Tamandua tetradactyla: one gene and its partner. The protein of the gene in region 2 interacts with the protein of the main gene of each other region in a biochemical or structural test. Links are inferred from orthologs where the notes say so. Each region holds a gene or a part of one and is shown on either strand. Other genes may lie near its edges. The genes, in order: PHB2 and MAP1LC3A.

The links.
Region 1: the proteins of MAP1LC3A (region 2) and PHB2 form a complex in vitro, tested with the Homo sapiens proteins (2 studies listed by BioGRID). The link is inferred for Tamandua tetradactyla from reciprocal best matches to the Homo sapiens genes MAP1LC3A and PHB2.

What each region holds. Positions count from the first base shown.
Region 1 is NC_135333.1:69,258,710-69,274,503, forward strand, and holds PHB2 (prohibitin-2), read right to left. Parts: upstream 10,581-15,794; 5' UTR 10,370-10,580; coding exon 10,243-10,369; intron 10,031-10,242; coding exon 9,946-10,030; intron 9,628-9,945; coding exon 9,548-9,627; intron 8,612-9,547; coding exon 8,427-8,611; intron 7,903-8,426; coding exon 7,773-7,902; intron 7,677-7,772; coding exon 7,573-7,676; intron 7,508-7,572; exon of another isoform or gene 7,241-7,507; intron 7,159-7,240; coding exon 7,081-7,158; intron 6,727-7,080; coding exon 6,646-6,726; 3' UTR 5,578-6,645; downstream 1-5,577. Other genes in the region: PTPN6 (tyrosine-protein phosphatase non-receptor type 6), read left to right, coding at 126-193, 303-454, 555-646, 1,009-1,119, 1,344-1,392; EMG1 (ribosomal RNA small subunit methyltransferase NEP1), read left to right, coding at 10,769-10,936, 14,102-14,203, 14,316-14,457, 14,836-14,894, 14,970-15,119, 15,516-15,629.
Region 2 is NC_135327.1:18,189,025-18,203,875, forward strand, and holds MAP1LC3A (microtubule-associated protein 1 light chain 3 alpha), read right to left. Parts: upstream 6,307-14,851; 5' UTR 5,987-6,306; coding exon 5,947-5,986; intron 5,645-5,946; coding exon 5,589-5,644; intron 5,496-5,588; coding exon 5,389-5,495; intron 5,155-5,388; coding exon 4,992-5,154; 3' UTR 4,978-4,991; intron 4,731-4,977; 3' UTR 4,563-4,730; downstream 1-4,562. Other genes in the region: GPI-anchor transamidase component PIGU, read left to right, coding at 3,949-4,021. UniProt on the Homo sapiens protein: Ubiquitin-like modifier involved in formation of autophagosomal vacuoles (autophagosomes). While LC3s are involved in elongation of the phagophore membrane, the GABARAP/GATE-16 subfamily is essential for a later stage in autophagosome maturation.

The DNA of each region.
Region 1 (15,794 bases), on a different chromosome or scaffold from region 2:
CTTCCCCTCGCTCATGGGTGGCCCTGTCTAGTTGCTTTATGCCACGCCCAGTGGCTGGGGCCGAGCCCCGTGTCCCCCCCATGAGGGGATGATGGCCTCTGTGGCCCTGTCCCTTCTCTCCCCAGCGCAGGCATCGGGCGCACGGGCACCATCATTGTCATCGACATGCTCATGGAGAGCATCTCCACTAAGGGTGAGCTTGCCCGTGCTCCGGGCGGCGGGCGCAGGGCCCTGGGCTGCTGGTGGGCGGCGGGTGCCTGCCTCGGCCTGCGCCCTGATGTCGGGCTGTCACCGCTGCTCAGGGCTGGACTGTGACATCGACATCCAGAAGACCATCCAGATGGTGCGGGCCCAGCGCTCGGGCATGGTGCAGACGGAGGCACAGTATAAGTTCATCTACGTGGCCATCGCCCAGTTCATTGAAACCACCAAGAAGAAGCTGGAGGTCATGCAGGTGTGTGCAGGAAGGCAGGGCTGGGTGGGGCTAGCGGGGGGAGTGGGCCTCACCTGGCCAGGCTGGGACCACCCCCCTCCCCCCACTCCTCTGCCCACAGTCCCAGAAGGGCCAGGAGTCAGAGTACGGGAACATCACCTACCCCCCCGCCATGAAGAACGCCCATGCCAAGGCCGCCCGCACCTCCTCCAAGTGAGTGGCCCCTGCCTGCCTGTTGGCCCCCCCCAGCCCCTGCGTCTCTCCCCTCTCCAGCCTGGGCTTCCAAAGTGCTAGAGTTGGGGAGGCGTGGGTTCAAGCTCAAGCCTGGTTTGCTACTTCTGTCCACAAGTGTTTCCTGAGTGCCCGCTGCGTGTGGGCAGTGCTGGGTACTGGCTGTGTGCTGACGGATGGGGTGCAGCCTCTGCTTCAGGGAGCTACTGATCTAGCATTGGGACAGCGACTGGGTCATTCTGCATTCCTGGCCTCAGTGTGCTCATCTGTGAGATGGGGTGGTCCCAGAGAGTGCTGTGTTTCCTGACGCGAGCCAACTGCCTACCCTGCCCACCCATCCGCAGACACAAGGAGGAAGTGTACGAGAACCTGCAGAGTAAGAACAAGAAGGAGGAAAAGGTAAAGAAGCAGAGGTCAGCAGACAAGGAGAAGAGCAAGGGATCCCTCAAGAGGAAGTGAGCTGGGCACCCTCCCGAGGAGGCCGTGGTAATGGTGCCCTCTGCTCAGAACCACGCCTCCCTGCCTGCCCCTGTGTCCCCTGGCCCCGGTGCTCAGCCCTGTGTCGGGGGTTGGGTGGCTACAGCCTCCCCTGGCCTCTCCAGCTGCTCCCAGCCCTGCTCTTGCTGCTTTCCCCAGGTCTGACCACCCTCCTTACTCCTGTTTGCCCTTCTCTCTGCAGCCTCAGCCCTGACCCCTGCAGGCCTCCAGCCGACGGACCCCCAGTCTGAACCTAGGACCCCTGTCCCTGTTCTATTGTAATTTAAATGGACATGTCTCCACTCCCTCTCCCTGACACTGTATATAACCCAGCAAGGCCCAGACAGGGCCAAGCCCTTCTCTCTTGTAAATAAAGCCCCTAGGGTCACTGCGTGTGCCTCTAACTCTGTGTACCTGGGCAGGAGGGGGCAGAAATGGGCCTCAGCCTGCAGTGTTGGGCACCGGGGTGTGGGTAGGGGGTAGGGAAGAGGTGTGTGTGGATGTCTAAAAGCTGGGTCTTCCAGCAGCCCTGGTTCTGGACTTTGCTGAATTAGCTAGGGCCAGTTACATAGGGGTGATTGCCAAAGCCTTGCTCCCCTCACTGGGTGGTTGTAGAGACCATAAAGCTAAGAGGGATGATGATAGCAAATTTATTATGTGCCTGCCGTGTGCCAGGCACTGTTTTAGAGACATGTTCATTCAATCCAGCTATCTTTATCATTCCCATTTTACAGTGGGGAAAACGGAGGCACAGAGAGCTCCAATATCTTGCTCGAAGTCACAGGACTATGGAGCAGGGAAGCTGAGGTTTTAACCCGGGCAGTCTGGTCCCAGGGCCCCCACCCCTATAGCTGGGTCTTGCCAGTGGTTATACAACCACAGCCCCCGAGGACGATGCCCAGATCCAAGGACTGAGAGGAATGAGGGCCGGTAGCACAGCCCCAAGGCCAGCCCCGGGCTCCCCTCACCTGGGCCCAACTGCCCCGAGGCTCCTGTGGCAGCTCCTTCCTGGCACTCCTACTTGCGCCCCAGGTTGCTTGGCTGGCTGCCCAAAGACAGTTTTTTGGGGGTGGGAGAGCAGGGTAGTTTACTGTTTCCACCTCCCTCCACTGTGTCCAGAGTGGAGGGGTGGACCACCAGCGATTGCTTTTTTTGCCTTGATGCTAATGTCCTGGGGGAGTTAGATCTGAGTCAGTCACAGCTCAGCAAGGACTGGTTCCCTCCTGGGAAGTCTCAGAAGTGGGGAGGAAGGGACAGAGGCTTGATTTCATTCATTCAGCAAATGCTCCATGGAGTCCACTGGGTTATGGGCACTGGATTGGGCTGGAGACGCCATGGCGAGCAAGGCAGCTCCTCCCCTCCCTTCACTTAGGAGACTGGAGGGAGACAGACCCAGAAACAGTCCAGGAACACTTGAAATAAAGACAGATTGGGCGGGCGGGCGGGTATCAGGACAGAAACAAAGAGCAGAGAGACAACACAATAGCTCAAGGGCGCACTGGCCCTCCAGGGGGTGGGTGGGTGGAGCGCTCACCTGTGGGCCTTGGGGCCCCTCTCCCGAGGCAACGCCCTTGGATCCCAGCCCCAGCTGCACAAAGGGAAAGCGAGGTCCCACCCCCTCTACCCGCCCTGGGGCCCTGGGCTGGGACTTGGACTCCCCAGAGGGAGGGAGAGAGGCCAGGTGGGTTAGGGAACCTGGGTCCCTACAGAAAACAGAGCTGGGTCATCCCTCCCCCTGGCTGGAGGGGCTGGAGGAGAGGCACTGAAAGCGTGAAGGTGATTTGGAAGGGTCAGTGCTGATGCTCCCGGTCAGGTCAGGCCTGGTCGTGGTTCTGGGAAGGGGAGACCACAGATCCCAGCAGGGGCAAGCACCCCCACACGGTAGAGGAGGAAGACGCGCTTTCCTGGGGACCTGCCTGCCCTCCACAGGCCTGGAGGTGCCTTCGTTCCCCCCCACCGTCTCCGCTGCCTTCCCTCAGGCGATGCTCAGACGTGGGGCGTGGGGCGGGGACAGGGGTCTGAGCTGACCTCAGATTGTAGTTCTGGCTGTGGGTGGAGGTCTGAGTCCTCAGGGACCGGGCTGCCTCTTGGGGCAGGAGCAGTTGTGGGGAAAGGCTGGGGAGACAGGTAGGGGGCCCCAAAGATTGCCCCTTACACCCTGGGTGGGGGCCGAGGAGGCCAGTAGGCGAGAAGAGTCCACGGGGAAGGGCGGGAGGCCTAGTGGGGTAAGTCAGGCCTCAGAGAGGTGCCTGTGGCTGGTGCTGGGAGGGAAGGGGTTAAGGCGGTGGCGGTGGGGGGGGCAGCCTATGGCAGGAGGACACACCTGTGCGTAGGGCGGCAGGCAGGGCAGCGGGCGGAGCCCAGGTGAGGAACCCAGGGCTGCCTGGCAGGCAGAGAAGGAAGGAGGAAGAGCGGAGGCCAGGGCGGCTTCTAGGCCGTAGAATCCTGGGCCTTGACTCCCCTTTCTCTCCTCAGCACCCACCCTCTGGGGTGCAGGTGGGCCAGTGACAGGTAAAAGCCACCGGGAGAAGGGTCCAGGGGCTGTGCTACGGTCTGCAAAGGCAGGATGGGGCGGGTGAATCAGTGTGTGTTGGGGGCAGGGATAGATCGCAGTAGGGGTGGCGGGGTAAGGGGCTCCAAGGCAGAGAGCTGATGTGTGGGGGCTGCTGAAGTCCCTTCTGGACCTCAGCCGATCAGCTCCCCAGGGTGGGGCGGGCAGCAGGGCTCACCCGGAAGTGTCCCCAGGGACGCGCTTGATGGGGGAGGGGAGCTAGGCTTCTGCAGCCTCTCCGCAGGGACTCTGGGCCTGGGGCTTCCTGGCCTGGAGGTGGGCAGGCTGGGTGGGGGACCCCGTCTTACCCAGCAGTGTTTGGGTGCTGGTTGGGAGTCTCTAATACTGCCGGGTAATGATGGAGGCCCTTGCCCCATGTCAACGGCACCCATCGCCTCAGGCCTTCAGGCCCCCAGCCGGCTGCGCTGTCTTCTCCTCCCCTCCCCACAAAACCTGGAGGCCTCTTTATCTTGAGCAGAGGGTGCTGCAGAAGAGGTAGCACCATTGGCCAGCTGCCCGCTGGAGGAACACAATGGCCCAAGGCCTTCCCCCAGTGGAGTTTGATTTGTCATCTGGTGGATCCAGAACCCCCAGCGGACCTGGAGCTTGCAGTTGGCTTGTGCACTCTCTCGAGGCCTCACCTAGCCTGCGGCCAGGGTCCCTATGGCGACTGGTCAGTTCTAGCCCGGATTTCCACGTTGGCCGACTCTGGGTCCATCTTCCAGTACAGTGTTGGATGGTCTAATAGTGAAGCTCCTAACACTGTCTGGTAAAGATGGCCCCCGGGCTGGCTCCCTCGACAATGACCTTCAGGGCACCCTGAAGACCCGTGGAGGCCTCCTGACCAACAACCTCTGACCTTTACCCCTCCGGATGGGGGTGAATCACTAGGAAAGAGGGAACAATGGGAGGAAACAAAATGGCTGCCTCTAGAGCCATAGCATTATTTGGAAATGATACTGTCCCCTAGGCACCTCCATCTCTTTCTGCCTTGGGAATGTGAAAGAAATAAAGTGTGAATAGGGACTGGTGAGAGATCAAACCGGCTCACTTGACGTGTCTTTTGTCTAATTGTTGCTTTCATTTTAGGGCTTCCAGCTCAGCTGCTGGGAGTGGGAGCTGCCAGAGTAGGGGAAAGTTAATTAATCTACTTTCTTCAAACCCTAAGAGGCTGAAGACTAACCTAGCCCCTCCAACCCTCCCCAACTGTGCATTTTCTCTCTACATATTTTTGTTTTATAGTTCCAAATATTCCTTGTCTCTTCATAAGGATGAGGGAAATGGGAACTGAAGATAAAAGTGGGGACTTCATTTTTTTCTGGTGCTTGAGGTTCGTTGTGGGGTGCCTCGAGGAGGATATGGAGATGCTCATCTAAAGACGAAACACCGATACCTGTTCTGTGGGAGTGACAAGCCCACCTCCACAGGTAGAGGCCTGTTACACACAGAGCTCCTGACAGGTGACTAAGAAACTGGAAGCACAGGTAGCCCAGCAGGCAATATGATCCACTGGGCTTTGAACACTTAAGTCTCTCCCATAGCTACAGGAACTGTTACCAAGGAAGCAGCTCTCATTGGGATCATCAATTTTTTTGGTCTGGCTCAGCAAAGCCACAGCTGCTCCAACCTCAAAAAAAAGAGATGTTGATATGTAAACAGGGTGAAGTGATAGAAATGAGAGGTGGGTGGAGTGCAGCTGGGCCTCAGGGCCCGAGGTCCGCAGTTCCCACTCCGCTGGACTGGGAGGGCAGAGCAGCAGGGCCCAGGCTTGGTCTTCCCTAACTGCCTTGGCAAGATTTGTTGCGCCCTCTGCTGGCAGGTACGAAGAAACACCCAGAAACGTGTGCACATGTGTGGGTAGCAGCTCAGACACGTGAGATCTTGATTTAGGCTTTAGTAATAAAAATTTATTGAGAATTCCTGGGATGACGGTTATCTCCTCCCAACACTGTAGGAAATGATGGAAAAACCACACACTGTCCCCAACACCCCTGGCCACACAGGGAGGAGGAAAGCCACTCCCCTCATAAAGGGTCAGTCTTGGTTAATCCAAGAGGGGTGGGAGGACTAGTGCATAGGGGGCCATCACATGATACTGGAGATGGGGCACGAGACTCCTAACTAGCTCCTTGAAAACCAGGGTAGAAGCAGATCCATGTCCTCTCTTGGGGTAGAATTCTTGGTCACCAGGCTCATTTCTTACCCTTGATGAGGCTGTCACTGTGGAAACAAAGGGCCAGATTTATAGTCTTATTAGGGGACTTACATGTGAGAGACAGAGAATCCCAGGCCACTCCTTTAACTGCCCCCCCCCCCCCCCCCCGACTGAGGGTGTGTATGTGGGGACGGGGGTGTGGAGAGGGTGAGAAATGGCTAGTGGGATGGGGAAGAGGGAGGCAGGGACCTGGAAAAGATGGGGCGTAGGCCCCACAGAAACATGGATACACCAACTTACCTTCCCCTGTGGAGTCCAGATCACCAGATAAAGAGGAAACACAGAAAGAGAAGAGAAATGCACATGTGATTTGACAGCTTCAGGCCCCTCCCTCCTCTACCCTCACCCAGCTCTAAACCTTCCTGACCACTTGAGAAAAAAAGACAAAATGTTGGAAACCAGAAATCTCAGGCTCATGAAAGAGATGGTTCTTTCTGCTACTCATCTTTCCTTTCTTAACATCCTTCCATATTCCAGAGCAGCAAGGTGAGAGCTCCCAAGTGAGAGCTATTTTTCAATTGGACAAACCTTTACAATTACGGCGTTTTTTGATACAAATCAATCTCATGAGATGCAAGGCAGAAATTGTCAACTACCCCTTTTCTGAAAAAATTTTGATTCGTAAGTAGTGTCTTTTGAGGGTTACACAAGCAGCTGATAGCAGAGCAGGCTCTAGAATCCAAGTGACCAGATTCAAATCCCAACTTCTCTGTGGCACCCCATTGTGGGTCATGTCTCTCACCGGGTGAAACTTTCATCCTGTAGGTTCAGCACAAGGTTGTCGGCAGTGAGATAGATACGGTTCTGTGATGTGGCGATCTATAGGGGAGACAGAGAGTCAGATGCTTGCATTAAGCAAAGAGGACTTTGATTCCTACCCTCGATATTCAATAATCATTCCTCATAGGAGTAGGCATGGTTTCTGCCCTCATTCAAGGATCCAGGGCAGTGAGCTGTTCAATTACGACTTGCCAGTTCCCTAAACAAGGCATAAGCACAAGTGGCAAGGGAGCCCAGAGCAATCATTTTTGACGGAAAGAAGGGTCAGAGAAGCCAGTTTGAGCAGAAACTCGAACAAGCAAGATTCAAATTTTGCTTGCTTCAATGTGCTTCAACTGAAAACAATTTTATGGCCAAGCAGTCCCGTGAGATATGCTGAGCACTCAGACTCACCGTCTTGGAGATGTTCTGGGCTGCCCGGATCTTGCGCAATTTGATGTAGCCTGGGTTCTTGCTCAATGCTTCTCCAAGGTGAGCAGGGCCGAGTTAAGGGTTCATATAAGGTCAGGTCTCAATCTCTGGCCCAAATCCTCACTACCCCTCACCTCTAGGCTGTCAGATCCAAGGTTGTGTTCAGATAGCTCGTGCCTGTCCCTACTTTGGTTCCTACTGTAGGCCCCTCTGCAGGCAGCTGCCGGGAACTGAGGACAGCAGCAGAAATGGAGGTCAAGGCCAATAGTGCTATTGATCTGGCCTTACAGTGGGGAGCTAAGTCTCAGATACCCCCACTAAGATCTCAGACCCCATCCCTAACCCCCAACCCCTAAGGAACCAAGGTCAGAGAGCATGAAGTCACATTCGCCTTAGTGTCATCAGCCAGCCTGTGAGGGCAGATGGGGAAAGCAGGAGTTCCAGGGGCTAGGTTGACATCTCTGAGTAGGATATCATTTTGGCAGCCTCAGCCTCACCCTCGGCCTGCACGATCTTCTGCCGCTGTTCCTGCTTTGCCTTTTCTACCAAGAACTGGGCCCGCTGGGCCTCCTGCTGGGCTGTGGTAGGAGCCAGAAGTCAGATGTTGGGTGTCAGGAATTCTATACATGGAGCCACAGAGCCATCCCTCCTCCTGCTTTGCCCTTGTAACTCACCCACTTGTTTGGCTTCTACAGCAGCCGTGTACTCTCGGCTAAAGCTCAGCTCTGTGATGGCTACATCATCCAGGATGAGGCTAAAGTCTTTGGCCCGCTCTGTCAGCTCCCGTCGGATCAAGAGGGACACCTGGGGGCACAGATGAGGGGAAAGGGGGGAATTTGAATATTGGAGAACTAGGAAAGGAATGTGTGTTGCTGTGACCATCTTCATATCTCCTGAAAATGTCAGGAAACTCACTGACCCTTTTTTATTTCCTCACTAGAAGATATAAGTTGGAAAGGACTTGGTCCAGGTTTCATTAGATAGGTGAGACAGGTTCATAGGGATACTATGACTGAACTGACTCCTAATTCTGTGCTCTCTACAAGACACCAAGAGTCACTCAACTTTCTGTTGGACAAACCTGTAATTATAAGCTTCTTTGCCAAAAGGAGTGTAGGAAAAACGTAGATTTTGTGTTATCTCCTAGTCTTCCAACCCTAGACTTTCAGGCTTACCTCTCTTTGTTTCCCACAGCAGCCATGAGAACAGCCTTTAGGTGAAAATGAAACAAGGCTCACAACCCTTTTCTAATAAGCTGCCTTCCCTGACATCTGGTCCCAACGCACTGGGCTTAGGAGGGAACTGTGACACATTACGGACAGTCAGACCTGGGCCCGCTGGGTGATCAGCTGTGAAGCATTGAACTTGGCCACCACACTCTTGAGCACTTCATTGACAATGGATGGCAATACTCGCTCCTCATAGTCTAGCCCAAGACGCTGGTACATGCTGGGAAGCTCCAGGGCGTTGGGTCGAGATAGCACTCGCAGGGAGATATTCACCATCTGCAGGTCTGATAGAGAAGTCAGCCGTGGTTGGTCAAGGTCATGGGGCCTCATGTGGACCCGTAACCAAACACGGTGCCCCAAGAATTTTCTCCTCCATTTGGTTCCCTCTTTGCCTATTACAGTGCTGTACAGATTGGAACTCCCCTAGGGGAGTTGATAAGAACAATTTAACAAGGCTCAGGACAAATGCATCTTCATCAACTGTGACGTTTTCTTTATCCATACCCCCTTCACTGGTAAAGCTGACCCCGATTTTTGCACTGTACTTTTTGTAACCTCTATCATAGACTTTATCATGCTGTAGCACAATATTCTATTTCCTTTACTGGACTATATTCCTTGTCCTCATGGGACAAGGAGTGTGTTTGTGAATCTTTAATCCCCATTGCCCAGGGTTTAAAGAATGAATAAATGACATGTGCTAAAAATGTACAAATAAATACATCACAGGTTAGTGGTGAGCTACATGTTTCAGTGTGTATGAGAGTATGAGAGTGAGGGGTGAGGATGAGGAAGAGTTTGGGGACTCTCAAAGGCACAACTTTTGGGTATAGCCTGAAATCTGGAACAAGTTCAGCACTGAAGAAAGACAAAAGACTTAAACCAGAAAAAAGGGCATTCTACTGGGTATAATTAATAAGTCAAGTGGTTAGAAGACTAAAACGGCTTTGACCTAGGCACTGATTAAGACAAAATCCTAGCCCTCACTGAAGTATACTGGGAGAGAGGGGGAAGGACAGGCATAAAACACTGTGGTAGGTGTTTACATTGGCTTTAACCCCAGGAGGTTAGGTAACTTTTATGATCCCTCTTTTGCAGATATGGAAACCAAAGCCTGAGAGACTAGATGCTACCATATTTCTCTTAGGGTCTCTTTCCAGGCTCCCTAGTTTACTTTGGGTATCCCGTTGGCCACATGACTTCCAAGAGCCCAGACCTACCTTTGGAGCCTGTGGGGGAAGAGATTTTTCGGGGTCTGGCCCGAATATCATAGATGATGGGGTACTGGAACCAGGGGATCCTGGCGTGGAGAGAACAAGGATCAGAAGAGAACAAGTATCAGACGCCTGTGTCTCATTAGCTTTGACTGGCTTCCCTTACCACATGTCTCTTGACCACCTCCTCCCCTTATCGGCCACGGACCTGGAGAGATTCTCTTCTCCCTTTGCGGAACAACAGTTTATGTGCTGTTGAAGTTTTAGGCAGCACCCGCTGTCCTGGGGGCAGGGGTGAGGTGAGCAAAGTGCAGCGCTGAGTTCTGTTGCAAATCCTACTATATCCACTGGAAGTCGACGTCGGGGTGAAGAGCTAGGGCCAGTCGGCCTTTGCCTGCCCTTACCTGAAGTGAAGGCCCTCGGCCAGGATGGTGTCTTGCTGCACGCCGCCGATTCGATTAAAAAAGATGGCTCTGTGCCCGCCTTCCACTGTGGGGAGAGGGGTGGCCATCAAGCCAGACAGCAGTTCAGTATACGTGGTAGGTTCTGGTGGGGTGGGGTGAGGGTGAGGGTGAGGGGGCTAGGTGAGCGCGGAGACCCAGCGGAACAGGGTAGGAGGTCTGGGTAGGGAGGGGTTAGGAGTTTTCGGGAGCTAGGGAAGGGAACGGGTCGGACTCAGCGAGGGGGCGGAGAAAGCTCACCAGTGAACACCGACTCGCGGACGCCGTAAGCCACCGCACCGGCCCCCAGCAGCAGCTTCAGTGCTGTGCCCATACCCCGGGGCCCGGCGGGCAGGCGGCCCGCTAAGTCCTTCAAGTTCTGGGCCATGTCGGCTCGCGAAGCCGGCGGCACCAGCGGGTAGACGGAGGTGCCGGCCCACTTGTACCCCGCCCCACTTTAAAACTGTACCCTTCACACGAGGGTCTGTGGACTGCAGAGCTCGCGGGAGAAAGGGCACCGGAAGTGCACTCCCTTCTAAACCCTCCCCTTGCCCAGTGGCGGACCCGAACTTCGCGCATAGGATTCCGGACAAACGGAAGTTCCCGCCTTCTCCTGGAACGTTGCCCTCCCTGGGCGGCTTCGGTAACGCTAGAAAGCAAACAATCGCCATTTCGAAGCGCCCACTTCCAAAATGGAAGCCGGAAGGAAGTTTGCAGTTAGGGCGAGGTCCGATACCGCACGAGGTTCTGAGAAATAGATTTAGCGTAATTTCCGCCCGGTTACAAGATGGCTGCGCCCAGTGGTGGTTTCCAAGCTCGCCAGCGTCGCGGTGGGGAGCAAGAACAAGACTGGGATGCTGCGGCGCCCAAGAAGCCTCGCCTTGGGTTGGGAAGCAAGATCGGAGGCCGTAGGCTCATTGTGGTGCTGGAAGGAGCCAGTCTGGAGACAGTCAAGGTAGCTTGGGGCACGTCGATAGGATGGGATTCCCAGAGTTGAGGGTGAGGGGCTCAGCGTGCTTGGAGAGAGCAGAGTGGGGTGAAACATTTTTTGGGGGAAAGGGTGGTCTAGTTGCTGTCCTTTGTACTAACATAATGGGTTGGCAGTAGTCTTTTTTTTTTTTGCCCCCTAGAATTCCATTAAAGCTCACACCTCCTTACTTCCAGTTGTTTTACTGGGGTTCTGTGATATAAAGTCATTTAGGGGAGGGGAATTCCGTTGTTCCATATCCCAAGACAAATTGCTGGGCAGACGAAAAAGGTAGTTACTTTACTCTTGTGGAACTCTTGCATACTTTTATTTGTATGGACTTAATGTTTTAATTTGTTAAAAGTGCCTCTATATTAATATCTACGGCGAAACACTGCTTGGCCCAGATTATCTTTTAATACCGTTACAACAAAATTTCACGTATCATTTGTTTTTTTTCTTTGAATGGGAGAAAATATTGCATAAGGGTTTAATATCCAGAATATATAAATCATTTGTTTCTTTTTCCAAGTGTAGCAAGTCCAGCAATTTCCTCTCTTAAAAACTGTACATTTCTTATTCCCTTGACTCTTTTTTCTTGCAGACTTTGCAGTTGAACTTTTTCAGTGAATAGGTCCAGAAGAAATAGCACTGGTTTAGAAGTCAGAGATGGGTTTTAATCTTGTTTCTAACACTTTTTAAAGTGTTTGCTCTTAAGAAATTGTTTCTTCGTAAAATGGGGTTAATGCCTTATTTATGAGCTACAGCCACATGTGATGGAAGTGCTTTAAAAGTAGTATATTTTTAGTTATCTAAGGTGTGATATTTTCTATCCTTCCCTGGCAATTATGGCATTTTATTAAGCTTTCTATCTGGAAAACCTGCTGTTTAAATGATTAACTTATCAAGTCTCTCATTCTCTTTTGTAATTGATATTTCCAGCCTCAATATAAGCTCTTATATTCATCACTCACTCCATTGTTTGCTATCTTTTCGGCCTGTTAACTCTGAATGTTGATTTTGACACTTGTCATGTCAGTTATCCTTCATAATTGTGTAATTTACAATTGTGGAAAGCATGCCTTCTGTGGCAGCACACACAGGGCTTGAGAATGCCGCATTTCCACTAGACTAGACTGGGTTCAGATCAGTTCTCTACGGCTCACTAGTTGTGTGACCTTTGGCAAATCACTTAACTTCTTAGGGTTGCCGTGAGGATTAAAGAAGTTATTATGTGTAAAGCTTAAAATAATATCTGGCACTTGGTCATACTAAGAATTAAATATTTTTTATTCCAGGTTCCTTACTAAGAAGTTGACAGGTTATGGGCAAATTAAAATCCCTCGGTCATGTTCTGAAAGAATTTTGGTCAGGTTGTCATTAGTGCTGCTTCAAGAATTCATAGCTAGTTGAAATTTTTACAGGACTGTGCTGTTGCCTTTTTCCTTCCTCGTTCTTTCACCTCCTGCTTCTCCCAGCCTCATCTGGGTCTGCTCTTTCCATTTTTTCCTGTATACTTATACTCAGTCTCATTGGCCTTTTTTTGTAAATGAGTATGTTGGATGGTGGGGGTCACATTTCTTTCATGTGACTATCCCGTTATTGCAGCACTATTTGTTGAATTTTTAGGGGATGGGGGTGGGGAAGTGCATGGGCCAGGAATAGAATCCAGGTCTCCCACACGTGGCAGGTGAGAATTCTACCACTGAACTACCCTAGTACGTACTCATTGGTTTTTTAAAAGTTCTTTGGAAGCACTAAGTTCTCTTATAACCTAAGGCCATTGCACATGTTGTTCTTTAACTGGAAGCGCCCCTTACCCAGCTCTTTGCCTAATATCTACTTATTTGTTCATTCAATACTTAATTGAATATTTATTATGCTATCTATTCAATTAAGGTTAACTGCTACCTCAGAGAAGTGACTCCTCTCATCCCTGGTATAAATCAGTTCCTTCTGTTCTTATCCTTTAAGTTTTCTTTTCCTTTATAATGCTTATCACAATTTGAGTTAAATATTCATGTGATTGTTTACTTTTGCCTCTTCCATTTAAGCCTCTGTGAGGGCAGAGAATGAAATTAAAAAAAAAAATTCTTTCTTGTATCACCATTACCTCGTACAGTTATGGCACATAGTAGGTGCTCTTTAAGTTCTTGTTGAGTCAGTGATTGTACATAAAAATACTATTTCTTTAATAGGCAAATGTGGCTTTAAATTATATGATATAGCTTTTGCAAAGTGACTGTGTGATTGTGAAAACCTTGTGTCTGATGCTCCTTTTATCTACTATATGGACAGATAAGTAAAAAATGTGGATTAAAAATAAGTAATAGGGGGAACAAATGTTAAAATAAATTGGGTAGAGGGAAGTACTAGTGGTCAATGAGAGGGAGGGGTGAGGGGTAAGGTATTTCTTTATATATTTTTTTCTGGAGTGATATATTTTGAGAAATGATAAAAAAAAATTCATTTCCCATCCTTCTGCTTCTCAAATTCTGTGGTTCACAAAGCACTTTCATATGTAATCACATTTGATTAGTGCCCTTTAGCACAAAAGTTCCTACTTTTTCAGTCTTTTCTTTTATGCACGTTTTTCTTGACCCCATCCATACCTTTGCTTATATCAGTCTTAAAACTGGGAATAACCCCTCTTCTTTTATTTTAGAGATGTCATTAAATTGCCTCCTGTTCAGATTTGCAGCTCCTCACTTAGAACAAACAAGTGTTTGTTTTATATAAGCAAACGGAGGGTACTATTTACCCAGTATACTCATTATTGCCCCCTGTGATAAACCTAGGCATTTACCTTTGCTCACTAACCTAACTCCTACCCGGTTCCAGAATCCCTCATTGGCCTTGCCTAGTAATCACAGGTTTTTAAATACAATTTAGATCATGTGAAATCACCATTTATACCCATCTTCCCTTTTCCTCTAAAATAATTTACTCGGGCGTAAATGCGACCACACAGTGATCCCTGAATGACTTGCTGGGCCTTGCTCCCATGGTTTCTGATTTAGTAGGTCTGGTATGGCCCTGAGAATTTGCCTTTCAAACAAGTTCTCAGATGATGACTATGAAGCTGGTTCAGGGACCACTGGACAAAGTAATAGAAGTTAATGTTGCTCTCTCCTCATTTTCACTGTTCTTCAGGTAGGGAAGACATATGAGTTACTCAACTGTGACAAACATAAGTCTATGCTGTTGAAGAATGGACGGGACCCTGGGGAAGTAAGACCAGATATAGCCCACCAGGTAACTTCAGGAACAGCACTCATGACCCCTTGGACCTTTGTATGAGGTAAAGCAGCTGCATGTCGCTTCTCACTAGCTTTAACTCATCAGTCGTGGTTTTTGCCTCCCTCAGAGTTTGCTGATGCTGATGGACAGTCCCCTGAACCGAGCCGGCTTGCTACAGGTTTACATTCACACTCAGAAGAATGTGCTGATTGAAGTGAACCCCCAGACTCGAATTCCCAGAACCTTTGACCGCTTTTGTGGCCTCATGGGTGAGAATCCTTAGGACTTAAAATTTAGCAGTAGTGAAGAAGGGAGGAATAGGTAAAGGGAAAAATTAAATATGGAAGTGTTAAGCTGGGGGAAAGCAACATGCTTGTTATCAGTAGAAGGTCTCCTCTTACCTTTTCATGTGCATGCAGGTATTACTCTCCTGCATGGAGAGTGCAAAAGGGAAAGTCTGAACTCATTGGCTGTACTAGTCATCATATGTTTGACAACTGCTTGTTCTTAAAGTTTTGGAGTGCAGTCTGGATGCAGAGGACACACTAAGCCTACTTTCTCTGTGGATTTTTCTGTTAGATTACTGGACAGATGAAGTGGGGTCTGCACCTGTCTCTGAATTCTCTTTTTTTTTCCTTCCCCTTCAGTTCAGCTTTTACATAAACTCAGTGTTCGAGCAGCTGATGGCCCCCAGAAACTCTTGAAGGTGAGGTATTGAAACCTACAGGTTGCAAATAAGTTTTTGAGGATGTTTCTGGGATTCACTTTTCTTTTTCTTTAGGTAATTAAGAATCCAGTGTCAGATCACTTTCCAGTTGGATGTATGAAAATTGGCACTTCTTTTTCCATGCCTGATGTCAGTGATGTGCGAGAGTTGGTGCCAAGCAATGACCCTGTTGTTTTTGTAGTGGGGGCCTTTGCTCATGGCCAGGTAAGGTCTGGGCTCAGTCCTTAGATCCCAAGGGAACTAGTTCTACCCTGCCCCTCCTTTTAGTGGCAGTGCTTGTTTGTAGCTTGTTTGAAGCTTAGTATAGAATTCAGAGAGCAGTTAGCATTTTGACTATCCTTGTCCTTACATGTTGGGGAACCAAGGGTTGGAAAAGTGCTAGAGACAAAGGAGGGTTCCACATCCTGCCCCAGGGATATCCTTTGAGGACTTCTAGAACGTTGGTAACAGCCTTCTTCATCTTTTGTACAACTTGGGTTTTAAATAGCACTGCTGAAGTATCAGCCCAACCATATTTTTCTGGTTCTTAAGGAGAAGGGCTAAGCCTGTTACCTATTTCTGTTGAGTGCTAGTCGGTTGACAAAACTGTTCTTTTTTTAGGTCAATGTGGAGTATACAGAGAAGATGGTGTCCATCAGCAACTACCCCCTTTCTGCTGCCCTCACCTGTGCAAAACTTACCACAGCCTTTGAAGAAATATGGGGGGTCATTTGACAGTAGTAGAACCTTGTTCTGAATACAGAGACTATTGGCATTATGTCCCTTGACTCTTCAGAGCCTGTTCTGAACCAGCTTCTGGGAGATGACCATCCTGCATTGAGACTTGGGGAAGCCAAGGCTGTAAATTTGCTATTTGTTTATCTTATAAATATGATTCTT
Region 2 (14,851 bases):
TTTGTGTGTATGTATGTGTATACCTCAGCAGGTAGAGAGGATGGGACAGGCCTCCCAGGGAGAGCCGGTATGGCAGGGAGGAGAGGGGACTGAGTCAGGAAGTTTGGGAGGAGAAATTGACACACCTTGGTGATTGATGGGAGGAGAGAGGCAGAGGGACTTGGTGGCATTCTGTGAGAGCAGGTTCAAAGAATGGGCTATTCTTTAGTCCCTGAAGGGCAGAAAGCAGATATATTCCAAGGCAGATATATTCCACATTGGCAAGGACTAAGTGAAGAAACAAAGCTTAGGGAAGTGGAAGTGACTTAACACAGGGTCTGACAGCACCACTTACTCATGCCATTTCCAGTGCCCCTTACCAACCTCCCCCTACCTAGAATGGGCAAAGGGGCTCTGGGTCTGCAGCTACTATGTTGGCGGAATCCTAGGGTCTGTGGGAAATCCTTTTTCCTCACAGCCAAAATGAAAAGTCCCAAAGTCAGTAGAGGTGGTCTCAGCCAGCCCGTGACCAGTTCAAGGTTTCTCACTGAAAAAGCTTCCCTGTGAGCTGGTTTGGTGTCCAGGGAGATGCCCCTCTCTGGGGCCAGGGGTCCCTCAGGGGTGTTGACCTGTTCCGGATAGCCCAAGCAGGTACCCGGGGCTCCGCCCCCTGCCTTTGGCACTTTATTATGACAATTTTTAAACACAGAAGAGTTGAAAAATTTTACATTGAGCACCTATATACTTATCACCTAGATTCTGTCATTAACATTTTACTAGACTTGTTTGATTATAACTCCATCTACTATATTTTTTAATGTATTTCAAATTAAATTGTAGATATTAGGACAGTGCCTGCTAAATATTATACGTATAATGTGTCTTATTAACTAGAGTTCAGTATTTCTTTCCATTTTCTTATGTAAAAGTTACATGCAGTGAAAATCACAAATCTTAACATTTGCTGAAGCCTTCTTTCATTCAAACTGTTCTTGAGGTCCATGATGTTGCATATAACAATAGTTCAATGCTTTCTTTTTAGTGAACTTCTGGAATAGCTTTACATTAACAGGTAAATTTCAAAGATAGGATTCCTACATGCCCACCCCCAGTTCCCTCATTGTTAACCTCTTACATTGCCATGGTATGCTGCTCAAAACTAAGAAACTGTTTTTGGTGTATGACTTATTAACTAAATTTCCAGATTTGATTTAGATTTCAACAGTTTTTCCACTAATTTCCTCTTTCTGTTCCAATATCCAATCCAAGGTACCACATTATATTAGTCATCCCATCTCCCCAGATGCCTCTGCTCTGGGACCATCTCTTTATTTTTTATAACCTTGACAGTCTTGAGGACTGCTAGCCATGAATCCTCTAGAAAGTCCCCCAACTGGGGATGTCTGTCTCTTTTCTCATGATTAGACTGGGGTTATGGGTCTCTAGAAAGAAGACCGCACAGTCATCTCAGGGATCCATGCTAGCTACTTGGTATCTCCATTGAGGTAAACCTCCTTCATCCCTTGGTTAAGGTGGTAGGTGCCAGGTTTCTTCACTGTAAAGTCACGTGCCCCACTCTATTCTGTGGCAGTGAGTCACTATGTCTAGCCTAGCCCACTGTCTGGGGTGGAGGATAGCAAGAATTAAGCTTTACTTTCTGGAGGGAAAAGTATATTATTTGGAATTCTTCTGTAAGGAAGATTTATTTCTTCTCTCCATGTATCTATTTACTCAGTTGCTTATTGGCTGAATGTTTTTATTTGAATTTTTATTTTATCAAGGTAACACATGGACATTTACAATACATTTACAAAGTTAAGGTTCAAAAGAAAAAAGAATAGCTCCCTAAGATTTTATCATTATTTCTTCTGGTATTTGTATTTCTTAATTATTTTCTCATTTTGTATTAGACTGAATCATATAAAATTTGCAATATCCAAACATTCATTATTTGCAGAAATGGCAATTTCATATGGTCCAACCTAATACATATTTTGACTTCTGGCTTTTTTTTAATGACATTGGACTTTTGTGTGGCATCAGAGTTGGCTCATTTTCTTTTCTTGCAATTTGTGACTATAGGACCTACCCCTCATCTGACCTGGTTCAGGGGTCAGTCCCACAACCTCAGGCACTGCTTCAGGCTCCTCTGTGCTGGGTGAGAAAGGGGTCAGCCTGTGGTGTGATAACTGTCTCTCCAGGGGACTTCTTGGGCTCTGTCTGCTCTAAGGAGACATTTGGCAGAGTTCTGCTGATTGGGCCCCAGGCCTTGCAGAGTCCATGGCCACGTGGAGTAACTGAACTAGTGCAGCTCTCTAGTTGTGGTTTTAGGCCAGCTGTTGAACCCTTTGAGCCTCTGTTTCATCTCTTCTGTTAAATGGGCATGATCAGTAGCCTTCCAGACAGTCTCCTGTGGTGGTAGAATGGCAGGTACTTGTCTTGAGGCCTCGTGTTGTTGGTGATGGGCATATCTCCCTAAAGTCCTTTTCCATGCCCCTCCATATTCTTTCTGTCCATAGTATGTTCAGCTACTTTCATAAACTTCAAGTGAGTAAAAGAAGTTTCCCAGAGCAAGCTCTGACTCACTCTAAGATCCTAGCTAAGGGCCTCAGTCTCTGAGCCATGAGGTGGTTGGTGCTGATATCAGAGCTGCCACAAGGTACTTGAGATCTGTTGGTTGTCTACAGTAGCAAGCTGCTCTCTTGTCTTCATTGGGACTGGGCCCCTCCCTGTCCTGTTCCAGGCGCTAGAGAGCTTCAATTTCTTGGGATGGTTGGGACCAAAGGACTTCAAGCCTAGTGTACAAGTGACCTTGGAAAATCCCTTTCTCTTTGGGCCTCAGTGAGGAGAATAGTGGGCTGAGCTTCCAAGGCCCTTTTGACTGTGGCCTAGAATTGGAAAGGCAAACCGAGCTGGGTACAGATACTCTGGTGAGCAGAACCACTCAGGGACCCTGCCCTGTGGCCCTCCCAGTCCAGTGGAGGGGAGACACAGTTGTCAAGCAGTCAAAGATGGAGATCAAAGTATAACTTGGATGAGTCTGTGCTAGCAAATAGTGGTTAATGGGACCCAGACCTAAACTGGGGGTAAGGTAGAACTGCTCTGAGAAAATGATCCTTCCTGAAACAAGCAGGCATTGCCTTGATGGAAGAGAAGAGCAAAGAAAAGAGCAAGGATCCTGGCATGGGAGGAAAGAGGCTAGTATAACAGGAGCAGAGGGAGGAGGAACACCAGGGGTGGGGAGGCACACACACAGCAGGGGTAAAGCCCTGGAGGTCCAGGGAGTTTGATCTTTACCCTGGGAGCCATGGGAAGCCTTTGGAGGATTTTAACCTGGGAAACACTCATTCCCTGGTTGCCAGGGATAAGGGACTGTAGGAAGAGGTTTGAGAACAGGGAGCCCAGGGACTAGGCTTTGCTCTTGCTTAAAGATGACAGTATCTTTGTCCAAGGTGGTAGCTATGGACTTAACAGAAATAGGTAGATCTCAGAGTTTAGGGAGTACTCTTGACAGGACTTGGTATCATACTGGCTGTGGGGAGTTCTTGCAGGGGAGCAGCGTTGGGTGAGTCTGTGGCCTGGGCTTCAGGATGGAAGATGGGGGTATGGGCACCTGGTGGGAAAAGTAGGGACGTTTGATGTGGGTTCAGCTGGGATGGAGGTGGTTGTGGGGCACCCTAGAGTTGAGGTTAAGGGGCTGCTGGATACAGATGCACCAGCCTGGCATGCAGAGATCAGGGTTTGGGATGGAGATGGATAACCTAATGGGAGAAGCACGTACAGTGTTGGCAACTTCTGAGGTGCCAGCAAGACCTTGCAAGGTCAAATGTGGATCCTGAGGTTGGGAGTTCACTGGGCAGGCTGCTGATCTAGGGTTGGGCAGGGGCTTTCTTGTCTCCCCAGCACCTTAGGAACTTAGGATTCAGGGGGAGATACCAACAAGTTCTTACACCTTCTCTCTTCCTTCAGATCCTGCTCATCTCTGATTATTTCTACGCCTTCCTGCGGCGGGAATACTACCTCACACATGGTCTCTACTTGACCACCAAGGACGGCACGGAGGCCATGCTTGTGCTTAAGTAGGCCTGGCTGGGCACAGGGCTGTATGGACTTCAGGGAGTAGAAGGGCAGGAGCAAGACCAAGCCCTCAGGCAGGTGGGATTTGAATCCAGGGTCACAGGTTCCTGGTATCGGAGGGGGATCATGTCTGGCAACCAGGCCTGTGCGGAAGAACCAGGAGAATTCCACTTGGACCCCTACTTTGTGGCTTCACCCACCATTGTGCCCCCACCCAGGCAGGAAAGGGGGAAGAAGTAGGTAGGAAAGGCCTGGTAGGTTGTGGCTACTCAATAAATGCTTTTTTTTTCTTTTTGTTAAGATGATGTCTGTCCTGGGACCACAGTCCCTACTGGAAGAGGTGGGCTGGCCACAGTTATTGCCCTGGTATACTATACTGATTTATGAGTGTCCATAATAAACCCTAAGGCCACAGAATACAAGTGTGAGTCCTGGCAGGCTGAGCATGGTACAGGACATTCCCATCAACCTTCCCTACCCCCTAAGCAAGCAGCCGGAGGCAGAGGGCCAGGCAGGCCTGAGCAATCTTTATTCTGCAGAGGGACAGTGACCACAGATCCATATACCATGCCAAGGTCGGGAGAACCAGGGGCCAGTCCTGCAGGGGTGGGCAGATCCAGGCAGGGGGCAGCACCTTGGGTAGCTGAAGGGCAAATGGGCAGACAGGCAGGGGCCTAAAAAACAAAAAGAAACAAAAAAATAGACAAACCACACAGCAGGGGTGCTGGAGCCAGCACTGAAGAGGGAACCCTAAAGGGACTGGTGCAGGATCCACGCAGGGGCAGAGTTAGGTGACTGCCCCCCCCCCCCCCCCCCCCCCCCGCAACTGGGGTCCACATCCCTGCCCAGCCCACCAGAGGCAGCTTAGTTCAGGAGTGGCAGACCCTGACTGGTTCCCACTCCCAGGCCAGCCCCCCCCACCCCCTGCTGCTGGCTCAGAAGCCGAAGGTTTCTTGGGAGGCGTAGACCATGTAGAGAAAGCCATCCTCATCTTTCTCCTGCTCATAGATGTCTGCGATGGGCGTGGACACGCTCACCATGCTGTGCTGGTTTACCAGTAGGAAGAAGGCCTGCGTAGGGTTCAGCTGCAGGCGGCGCCTGAGGCAGGAAGGTGAATGTGAGGGGCATGCAGGTAGTCCCTGGCCCCTTCCCCAGAATCGCTCGCAGCCTCTTCTAAGAGGTTCTCTCATGAGGCAGCACTGACCCCTAGACCTTGACCTTCCCCAGCCTCCCAGAACAGGGGTCCCACTTTTGCCTCTTCGAGAGGGAATTTGGGCTTCTGTTTAACCCCAGCCAGACCCAGGTTCCCCTCCCGGGCAGTTGCCCGCGCACCGGATGATCTTGACTAGCTCGCTCATGTTGACATGGTCGGGGACCAGGAACTTTGTCTTGTCCAGGACGGGCAGCTGCTTCTCACCCTTGTAGCGTTCTATGATCACCTGCGAGTAGGGTGGGCAGGAGAGTGGGAACATGTGAGCCTGAGGGCCAAAGGCGGGCCAGGGACGGGGTAGGAAGGGGGCAGGGGTACTCACTGGGATCTTGCTAGGGTGCTGATCGCGTATCTGCTGCACCTCCTTACAGCGGTCCGCTGCAGAAGAAGAGCAGGACTTGAGGCGGGGCAGAGGTGCTGCCGGCGGCTCCGCCCTTGAGGGGCGGCCCCACCTCACCAGCCAAAGCCCCCACTCCCCGGGGCTATTGAGCCCTGCAGCCCTTGGCACCAGATGGGGTGGGGAAGCAGGGAGACCCCCTGCCCAAGCCGGACCCTGCCCGTGGGGCCAGCTGGAACCTGATGTCACAGGGCTGACGTCACCAGCGGCAGGCCAGGGCAGTCCGCGTCCCCTACCCCTGCGCCCCCCATCCCACGCTTACAAATCACCAGCCCGACCTCACCGAAGCTCCGCCGCTGCTTGAAAGGCCGGTCGGAGGGCATCGCGCGGGCCTGGCGGGGCGCGCAGGCCAAGGCTCTGGGCGCGCGGTGCGGGGATGTGAGTGCGGCTTAGGGGCGCCGCGCCTCACGCTGAAGGGCTCTCGGGCTCGCGCTGAACCCAGCGGCGGAGGCTTAGGGAGGTAACTCGCTCGGTGACGTCAGGTCACAACATTCCTTAAAGGGGAGGCCGGCGAGCTGCTCCCATTGGGCCGACGCAAAACCCGCCCGTTCCGTCTCGTGGCGTCACGGCGCAGAGAGCCTGGATTCCCGGCACAGAGACGCGGCGTGGGGGTGGGGGCGAGGGCGCGCTCCCATGGTGCGTCACAGGCACGACGTCATGGCGTGCGCGGGCATTTACCCAAGGCCCTTTTCGGAGACCGAAAGAAGGGGAGATGGTGGTGGGTACTTGACCCACCTTGGGCTGTGACGTTCTGGAAGGTTGAGAGAGCGCGCGGGTTCACCGAGTCATTCGACCAACGTGTACTAGGGTCTCGCCTGTTAGGGAACTGCTGGATGCTAGGGATGACATCAAGGAACCCAAGTCCTCACCTTCGTGGTCTTAATGGTTAGAGGAAAGCAGAGGGGGGGAGGGACATTAAAGCATACGGAAAGTACAAGACACCAAAAAGACTCTAAAGGACATTCTAGAATTGAAAAATAGTCAGTGGAAGGGGTAAGAAAGGTTAGAGCAGAAGAGAAAGTCGCCAAACTGGAAATACATCAGAAGCAATTACATGAAGAAACAGGTAGAAAATAAGAAGTGACATGAGTGATAGAGTGATAAAGACTCACAGATCCAATCAGAATAAGGAGACAAGACAATGTGAGAAGTGCCGGTAGAGCTCCCGAAATTCAGGATCATCACAGAAAATCCAAAGCAGGATAAATAAAAATAAAATCAGTAGCTAAGCACTTTGCAGTAAACCTGCAGAACTCTAAAGATGAACTCTTAAAAACTATTAAAAAGGCTAGATTACCTGAAAAATAAAACTAGACTGACACACTTCTCAGCAGCATTTATAGAAGCCAGAAGAAAATGTAATAGTATCTTCAAACTGCTGAGTGCAAAAATACTATCAGCCAGTAGTTAATTCATGATTAAAAGGTCAGGGACAAAATAATGTTGAGAGCGTTTACAGAAAACACTATTGCTAAAATAAACTGTAAAGGATGTACTTCAGTTACAAGACCATGTAATTCAAGAGGAAGAAATTAGTTGGGGGGGGAAAAATGGTGAGCAAATAAACTGGTGAATGTGTAGGTAGATCTAAAACACATAATATTGAACAGTAATGGCAATAATTGGCTTGGGGGTACCAAAACAAGCTGTATGAGACACAGCAGCATGTAAGACAGAGTATAATTAGAGTTACACTTGCCTGGCTTTGTGAAGTCACGTATGTATTTTAAACAATTAATAATAGTGACTAAAGAATAGAAGGGGAATGTATTATTGACAATGCAGAAAAGAGAAAAAGGGTAGTAAAGGGTACCTAAAATTATAATAGACAAAGAAAACAAATGAAAAAAAGTAAAAAGGGATGGTAAATTAAAAGCCCAAAACCACAGGTAGAAATGTCTTAAATTCACCTTTTTTTTTTTTTTTTTAAAAAAAAGATCAATTTGGCCAAGACAAATAAAATTCTATTCTGTGCTGTTTCAAGAAGGCCCTTAAAGACACCACAACTAAAAAGATGTACAGAGAAAAACTAACCAGAAGATGTAGTCATAGCAAAATCAGACAAAATAGACTTTAAGGCAAAAAAGCAGTATTAGGGATAAAAGAGGGTCACCACAAAACAATGAGCAGAACAGTTCTCTAAGAAGAGAATTCTGAACTTATATATTCCTGGTTAAAATATATATGAAGCAAAAGTGACAGAACAACAAGGAGAAATTGGTAAAATCCTTCCTCATACTGGAAGGTATTCAACAGACCTCTCTCAATAACTGATAAACAAAGCAACCAAAACAGGATTTTAACACAATAATCCTGCTCGGTGGACCTCCGTAGAATCCTGAAGCCAACAAGTTACTTTCAAACATACATGGAGGAAAAAAACATACATGGAACATCTACAAAAAATAACCCAACCTCTAGGCACCAATGTAAAAAAAAAAAAAAGACAGCAAATTTCATACAGACCATATTTTATGACCACAGAGAAGAGCCAAGAAAGCCCCAAATGTTGGAAATTTAAATATGCTTGTAACCCTTTAAAAATGAAATCATATAAAAATTTAAAATATTTAGAACCAACAAAAAATGAGGCTACATATAAAAACTTGGGGGGGGGCTAAAGCAGCACGTAGGAGGTAAGCAATAAGCCTAAGGAATTTAGAAAATGAGCACTTTTAAGGACATTTTAAAAGGAGCAACAGTATAAACTCAATATAAACTCAAAGTGGAAGGGATATCATACTAAAGAGTAGAAATTAATGAATGAAAAATATATACTAGTATGGATCAATGCATCAAATCTGGGTCTTTTAAAAGACCAATAAAACAGTGTGCAAAGAGGCCCAAGTCAGCAGAAATTACAAAAATACCATAAACAACTTTATGCCAATAATTTAAACCTTAGATTAAATGGGCAATTTCCTAGAAAAATATAGTTTGTCAAAACTAAATGAGATCTGAACTTCTTGGAATTAAGGACACTACAATGTCCAGCACATAGTAGAAGCTGAATGGAAATTTCATACCAATGAAAAATTTAATTTAAATAAAGTATGAGTTCATATATATGTATGTGGATGTGGATCTGCATATGTATGTGCGTATGGGTTATCCAAAATAAATGGAAAGAGACTCCCACTATTTTATTTGCTTTTTAAGGAAATCATATCTCTAGAAAGGTAGAGGGCTTCAAGACTCGTGAGTAGGAAATTATACGTATTTATATATACATAAAAATTTTGTGGCTTTTCAATTAGACAAGAAAAAGAAATACAAGGCATCAAAATTGGAAAGGAAGAAGTAAAACTATCACTGTTTGCAGATGATATGATACTATACATCAAAAGCCCTGAAAAATCCACAGCAAAACTACTAGAGCTAATAAATGAGTACAGCAAAGTAGCAGGTTGCAAGATCAACATTCAAAAATCTGTAGTGTTTCTATACACTAGCAATGAACAAGCTGAGGGGGAAATCAAGAAACGAATTCCATTTACAATTGCAACTAAAAGATAAAATACCTAGGAATAAATTTAACTAAAGAGACAAGAGACCTATACAAAGAAAACTACAAAAAAAACTGTTAAAAGAAATCACAGAAGACCTAAATAGATGGAAGGGCATACCATGTTCATGGATAGGAAGACTAAATATAGTTAAGATGTCAATCCTACCTAAATTGATTTACAGATTCAATGCAATACCAATCAAAATCCCAACAACTTATTTTTCAGAAATAGAAAAACCAATAAGCAAATTTATCTGGAAGGGCAGGATGCCCCAAATTGCTAAAAGTATCCTGAGGAAAAAAAATGAAGCTGGAGGTCTCACGCTGCCTGACTTTAAGGCATATTATGAAGCCACAGTGGTCAAAACAGCATGGTATTGGCATAAAGATAGATATATCGACCAATGGAATCGAATAGAGTGCTCAGATATAGACCCTCTCATCTATGGACATTTCATTTGATCTTTGATAAGGCAGTCAAGCCAACTCACCTGGGACAGAACAGTCTCTTCAATAAATGGTGCCTAGAGAACTGGATATCCATATGCAAAAGAATGAAAGAGGACCCATTTCTCACACCCTATACAAAAGTTAACTCAAAATGGATCAAAGATCTAAACATTAGGTCTAAGACCATAAAACAGTTAGAGGAAAATGTAGGGAGATATCTTATGAATCTTACAATTGGAGGCAGTTTTATGGACCTTAAACCTAAAGCAAGCGCACTGAAAAAAGAAACAAATAAATGGGAGCTCCTCAAAATTAAACACTTTTGTGCATCAAAGAACTTCATCAAGAAAGTAGAAAGACAGCCTACACAATGGGAGACAATATTTGGAAATGACGTATCAGATAAAGTTCTAGTATCCAAAATTTATAAAGAGATTGTTCAACTCAACAACAAAAAGACAGCCAACCCAATTACAAAATGGGAAAAAGACTTGAACAGACACCTACCAGAAGAGGAAATACAAATGGCCAAAAAGCACATGAAGAGATGCTCAATGTCCCTGGCCATTAGAGAAATGCAAATCAAAACCACAATGAGATATCATCTCACACCCACCAGAATGGCCATTATCAACAAAACAGAAAATGACAAGTGCTGGAGAGGATGCGGAGAAAGAGGCACACTTATCCACTGTTGGTGGAAATGTCAAATGGTGCAACCGCTGTGGAAGGCAGTTTGGTGGTTCCTCAAAAAGCTGAATATAGAATTGCCATACGACCCAGCAATACCATTGCTAGGTATCTACTCAGAGGACTTAAGGGCAAATACATAAATGGACATTTGCACACCAATGTTTATAGCAGCATTATTTACAATTGCAAAGAGGTGGAAACAGCCAAAATGTCCATCAACAGACGAATGGCTAAACAAACTGTGGTATATACATACGATGGAATATTATGCAGCTTTAAGACAGAATAAACTTATGAAGCATGTAATAACATGGATGGACCTAGAGAACATTATGCTGAGTGAGACTAGCCAAAAACTAAAGGACAAATACTGTATGGTCCCACTGATGTGAACCAACATTAGAGAATAAACTTGGAATATTTCATTGGTAACAGAGACCATCAGGAGATAGAAATAGGGTAAGAAAATGGGTAACTGGAGCTGAAGGGATATAGACTGTGCAACAAGACTGGATACAAGAACTCAGAAATGGACAGCACAGTACTACCTAATTGTAATGTAATTATGTTAAAACACTGAATGAAGCTGCATCTGAGGTATAGTTTTTTTATTTTTTATTTTTTTAATTTTTTTCTCTCTATTATCACTTTATTTCTTTTTCTGTTGTCTTTCTATTCCTTTTTCTAAATCGATGCAAATGTACTAAGAAATGATGAATATGCATCTATGTGATGATATTAAGAATTACTGATTGTATATGTAGAATGGAATGATTCCTAAATGTTGTGTTAGTTAATTTTTTTATTAATAAAAAAAAATTCTGTGAAAAAAAAAAAAACTAAATGAGAGACTGAGAGGTTGTCCTATGCCAGATAAACCCTGAAGCTTAGACGTACCAGCCTCTCCCAGAACGTCAATCAGTTGCATCCCCCTACCGCATAATGTCAACACCCCTTTTCAACATGAAGAAGATAGAATGGTCATTGTCCAAATATCCCTGAAGATTCAGAGAATGATCAAGTTAAAGGGAGGAGTTGTAACAGAGAAATTAGAATTTAATAAGGATTCTGACTACTGAATCATTACATAGATATATTTCTTTTTAGTTTGTAGTGTATTAGAACAGCCAGGGTGGTGTGACAAGGCTCAGTGGCAGAATTCTCGCCTGCATGCCAGAGATCCAGGTTCAGTTCCCGGTGACCCAGTGCCTATCTATATAACAACTATATTAAAATGTTAATCACAGATCTAGCTGGTGAATATATGGCTATCCATTGTATGATTCTTTCCATTTTTCTCTATGTTGGAAAAGTTTCACCATAAGATATTGGGGGAAAAAGATAAAAAAAAAAAAAAAAAAGACTATCCAAAATATATGAGGAACTTTTACAACTCAACAACAAAAAGACAAACAGCCCAATTAAAAAGTGGGCTAAGGACTTGTATAGACATTTCTCCAAAGACAATATACAAATGACCAATAATCAGCAATCTCTATAACCATCAACGTCTGTTGGTGGTTAAGTTCATGTGTCAACTTGACTAGGTTATGGTGTCCAGTTGTTTGGTCAAGCAAGCACTGGCCTGATTCTTACTGTGAGAGTATTCCGTGAATTTCAGTCAGTCAGTTGATTCATGTATGGCTGAGTACATCTGCAGTCAACAAAGACGACTGCCTTCAACAATGAGAGAAATCTCATCCAATCAGTTGAAGGCCTTACAGAGAGAACTGATCATGCCATTGGTTGGGAGAATTTCTATCTACTTCAGCCGGCCAACTTCTAGGGAATTCATCAAAGCCTTCATTGGTGTTCCCAACTTGCAGCCTCCCTACAGAATTCAGAGTTGCTAATTCCCACTGTCATGTGAGTCCATTCCTATAATAAATATTAGCATTTACATATACATATGTGCATAAATCATTTTCCCATCAGTTATATTTCTCTGTAGAACCCTAATACATAACCTTCAGGGAAATGCAAGTCAAAACCACAATGTGCTGTTTCATATCCACCAGGCTGGCTATTTGAAAAAAAAAAAAAAAAAAAACCCAATAGTGTTGGTGAGATGTGGAGAAATAGGAGCACACATGCATCATTAGTGAAGAATGTAAGATGGTGCAGCTGCTGTGAAAAGCAATTTGGCAGTTCCTCAGAAAGTTAAACATAGTATTACCATATGACCCAGCAATCCCACTTCCATGTATATACACCAAAGAATTGAAAGCAGGCACACCGATATTCATAGCAGCATTACTCACAATAGCCAAAAGATGTAAACAACCCATGTCCATTAACAGATAAATGGATAAACAAAATGTGGTATATCCATACAATGAAATATTATTCTGCTATAAAAAGGAATGAAACTCTGCTACATGCTACAACATGGAATAACTTTGAAGATCTCATATTGAGTGGAAGAAACTGGACACAAAAGAGCAAATACTGTATGATCGCTCATGAAGTAGAATATGTAAATTCATAGTTAGAAATTCCAATAAAAGTTACCAGGAGCAGAGGTGGGGCTGTGGGTTGAGAAGTTCCTGTTTAATTGCTACAGTTTTGTTTGGTGTGATGGAAATTTTAGTAATGGATGGTGTTGGTAATAGCACAAGTAATTTGAATGTAATCAATACCACTGAATTCTATATTTGAAGATGATTAAAATGGAAAACTGTTGAATGGTATCACAATAAAATAAAATTTGAAAAAAAATTATACAATACAAAGAGTGAACCCTAATGTGAAGTATGGACTATATCTTTATTAGAGTTAATCATAACATTGGTTATTAATTATAGCAAATGTACTACACTGAAAGAAAATGTTAATGGGGAAACTACATCTAGGGGTTGTATATGGGAACTCTGTACTTTCTATGTAAATTTCTGTAAACCTCAGAAATAAAAAGTAATAGCTTGAAGTGCAAGCAAAGGATTCAGTCAGGTTACCAGGTAACCCTGCCACCTGCTCCCTTCAGGCTGACCTTTCTTCCTACCCACATTTCTTCTCCACATTTTTGCCTTCTGAGCCTCTCTGGATTCATTTAATTTGCATGCGTACAGTGTGTGCGTTGCGCTAGGACATCCTGCAACCCAGACTCTAAAGCTATATAGGGCAGAGTCCTGTATATTACAAATACCATGGTTGTCTTCCTTAATATAATCTTTTAAAATCCTTGATTTAATCACATCTGCAAAGACTCAAATGAGCCTGAAATAATTACAGATTCCAGGGATTGGGACCTGCTATCTTTGGGGGACAGTTTTCAGCCTACTACAATGGGGTGCCTCCAAAGCCCACTTTTGAGGGTTGACTACTGAAGTTCCTATTTGTCACCTAAATGGCTAACTACTAGGGCTAAGTTGTATTTAACATGATAACCCAATTCCATGGGCCCAGGCTGAGAAGCTTTCTTTACCCTTATGCTTCTGCAAGCTCTCATTAAGTAATCTGTGTTTGTCTCTGTTGCTTGCAAACTAAGAGTCAAACCATAGCAAAGTGCCTAAGAAGAATGGCTCATTTTGTAAACTTTCAAGTTACCAAAATACCAATGGTTGGTAGATCTTTTGGGAATTTCAGTTCAGCCCACATTCCCTTCTCCGAGAACCACTTCCCCACCTGCTGGGGTGGCCCCTTTAGCCATGTTCATCCATGTGAGCACAGCTGAATCGACCACGGTTGGGTTGTGACTACAAACAATCATGTTTTCTTCAGGGACTTGGAACTTGGATCCAAGACACTGTTCTGGCCTTGAAATGGGTTCTTGATGTAGCCCCTCAAAGGCCATCTTTTTGCTAAGTGAAAACAATTATATAGAAAGAAACAGAGACACGTGGACCATGGGGATTCTGAGACTGAAAGTGCAGCTACCTTGGTTTTTAATGGCTTCTTGGTTAGAGAACTAAGTGAAACCAAGCTTCAATTCTTCCCTAGGTTAGGAAAAATTCTTCTTGCCCTCCCCACTCCACCTGCATGCACTGATAGTAAAAAGTAAGTTTCTCTCTCTCCTTTGGCAGTCTGCCTAGGTGTCTATTTTCAAATCAAAGAAGTTTGATTAAGACTGAAGTTTTAATCCTCATTTAAATACCCCTCACCTTGCCCCTATAAAATGATTTAGGCTCAACAAGGAAAAGACAGCCAACCAACCCAATTAAAACTGGGCATCAACTCTGCAAGTTAAATCATCCTCATCCCCTCTACATGGGACATCCCGAGGTAGAAGTCTCCCTGGCAACGTAGGTTATGAAACCCAGGTTTGAGCCTGGCCCTGGCACTGTGGGATTGACAACACCTTCCTGACTATTCCAGTTTGCTAGCTGCCGGAGTACATATATCAGAAACAATGGCTTTTAAACGGTGGATTTTATTAAATTGCCAAGTTTACAGTTCTAAGGCCATGAAAATGTCCAAATTAAGGCACCAACAGAGGTTACCTTTACTCAAGAGAGGCTGATGAAGTTCAGGATTCTCTCTCAACTGGAAAGGCACATGAACATGGCGACATCTGCTAGCCTTCTCTCCAGGCTTCTTG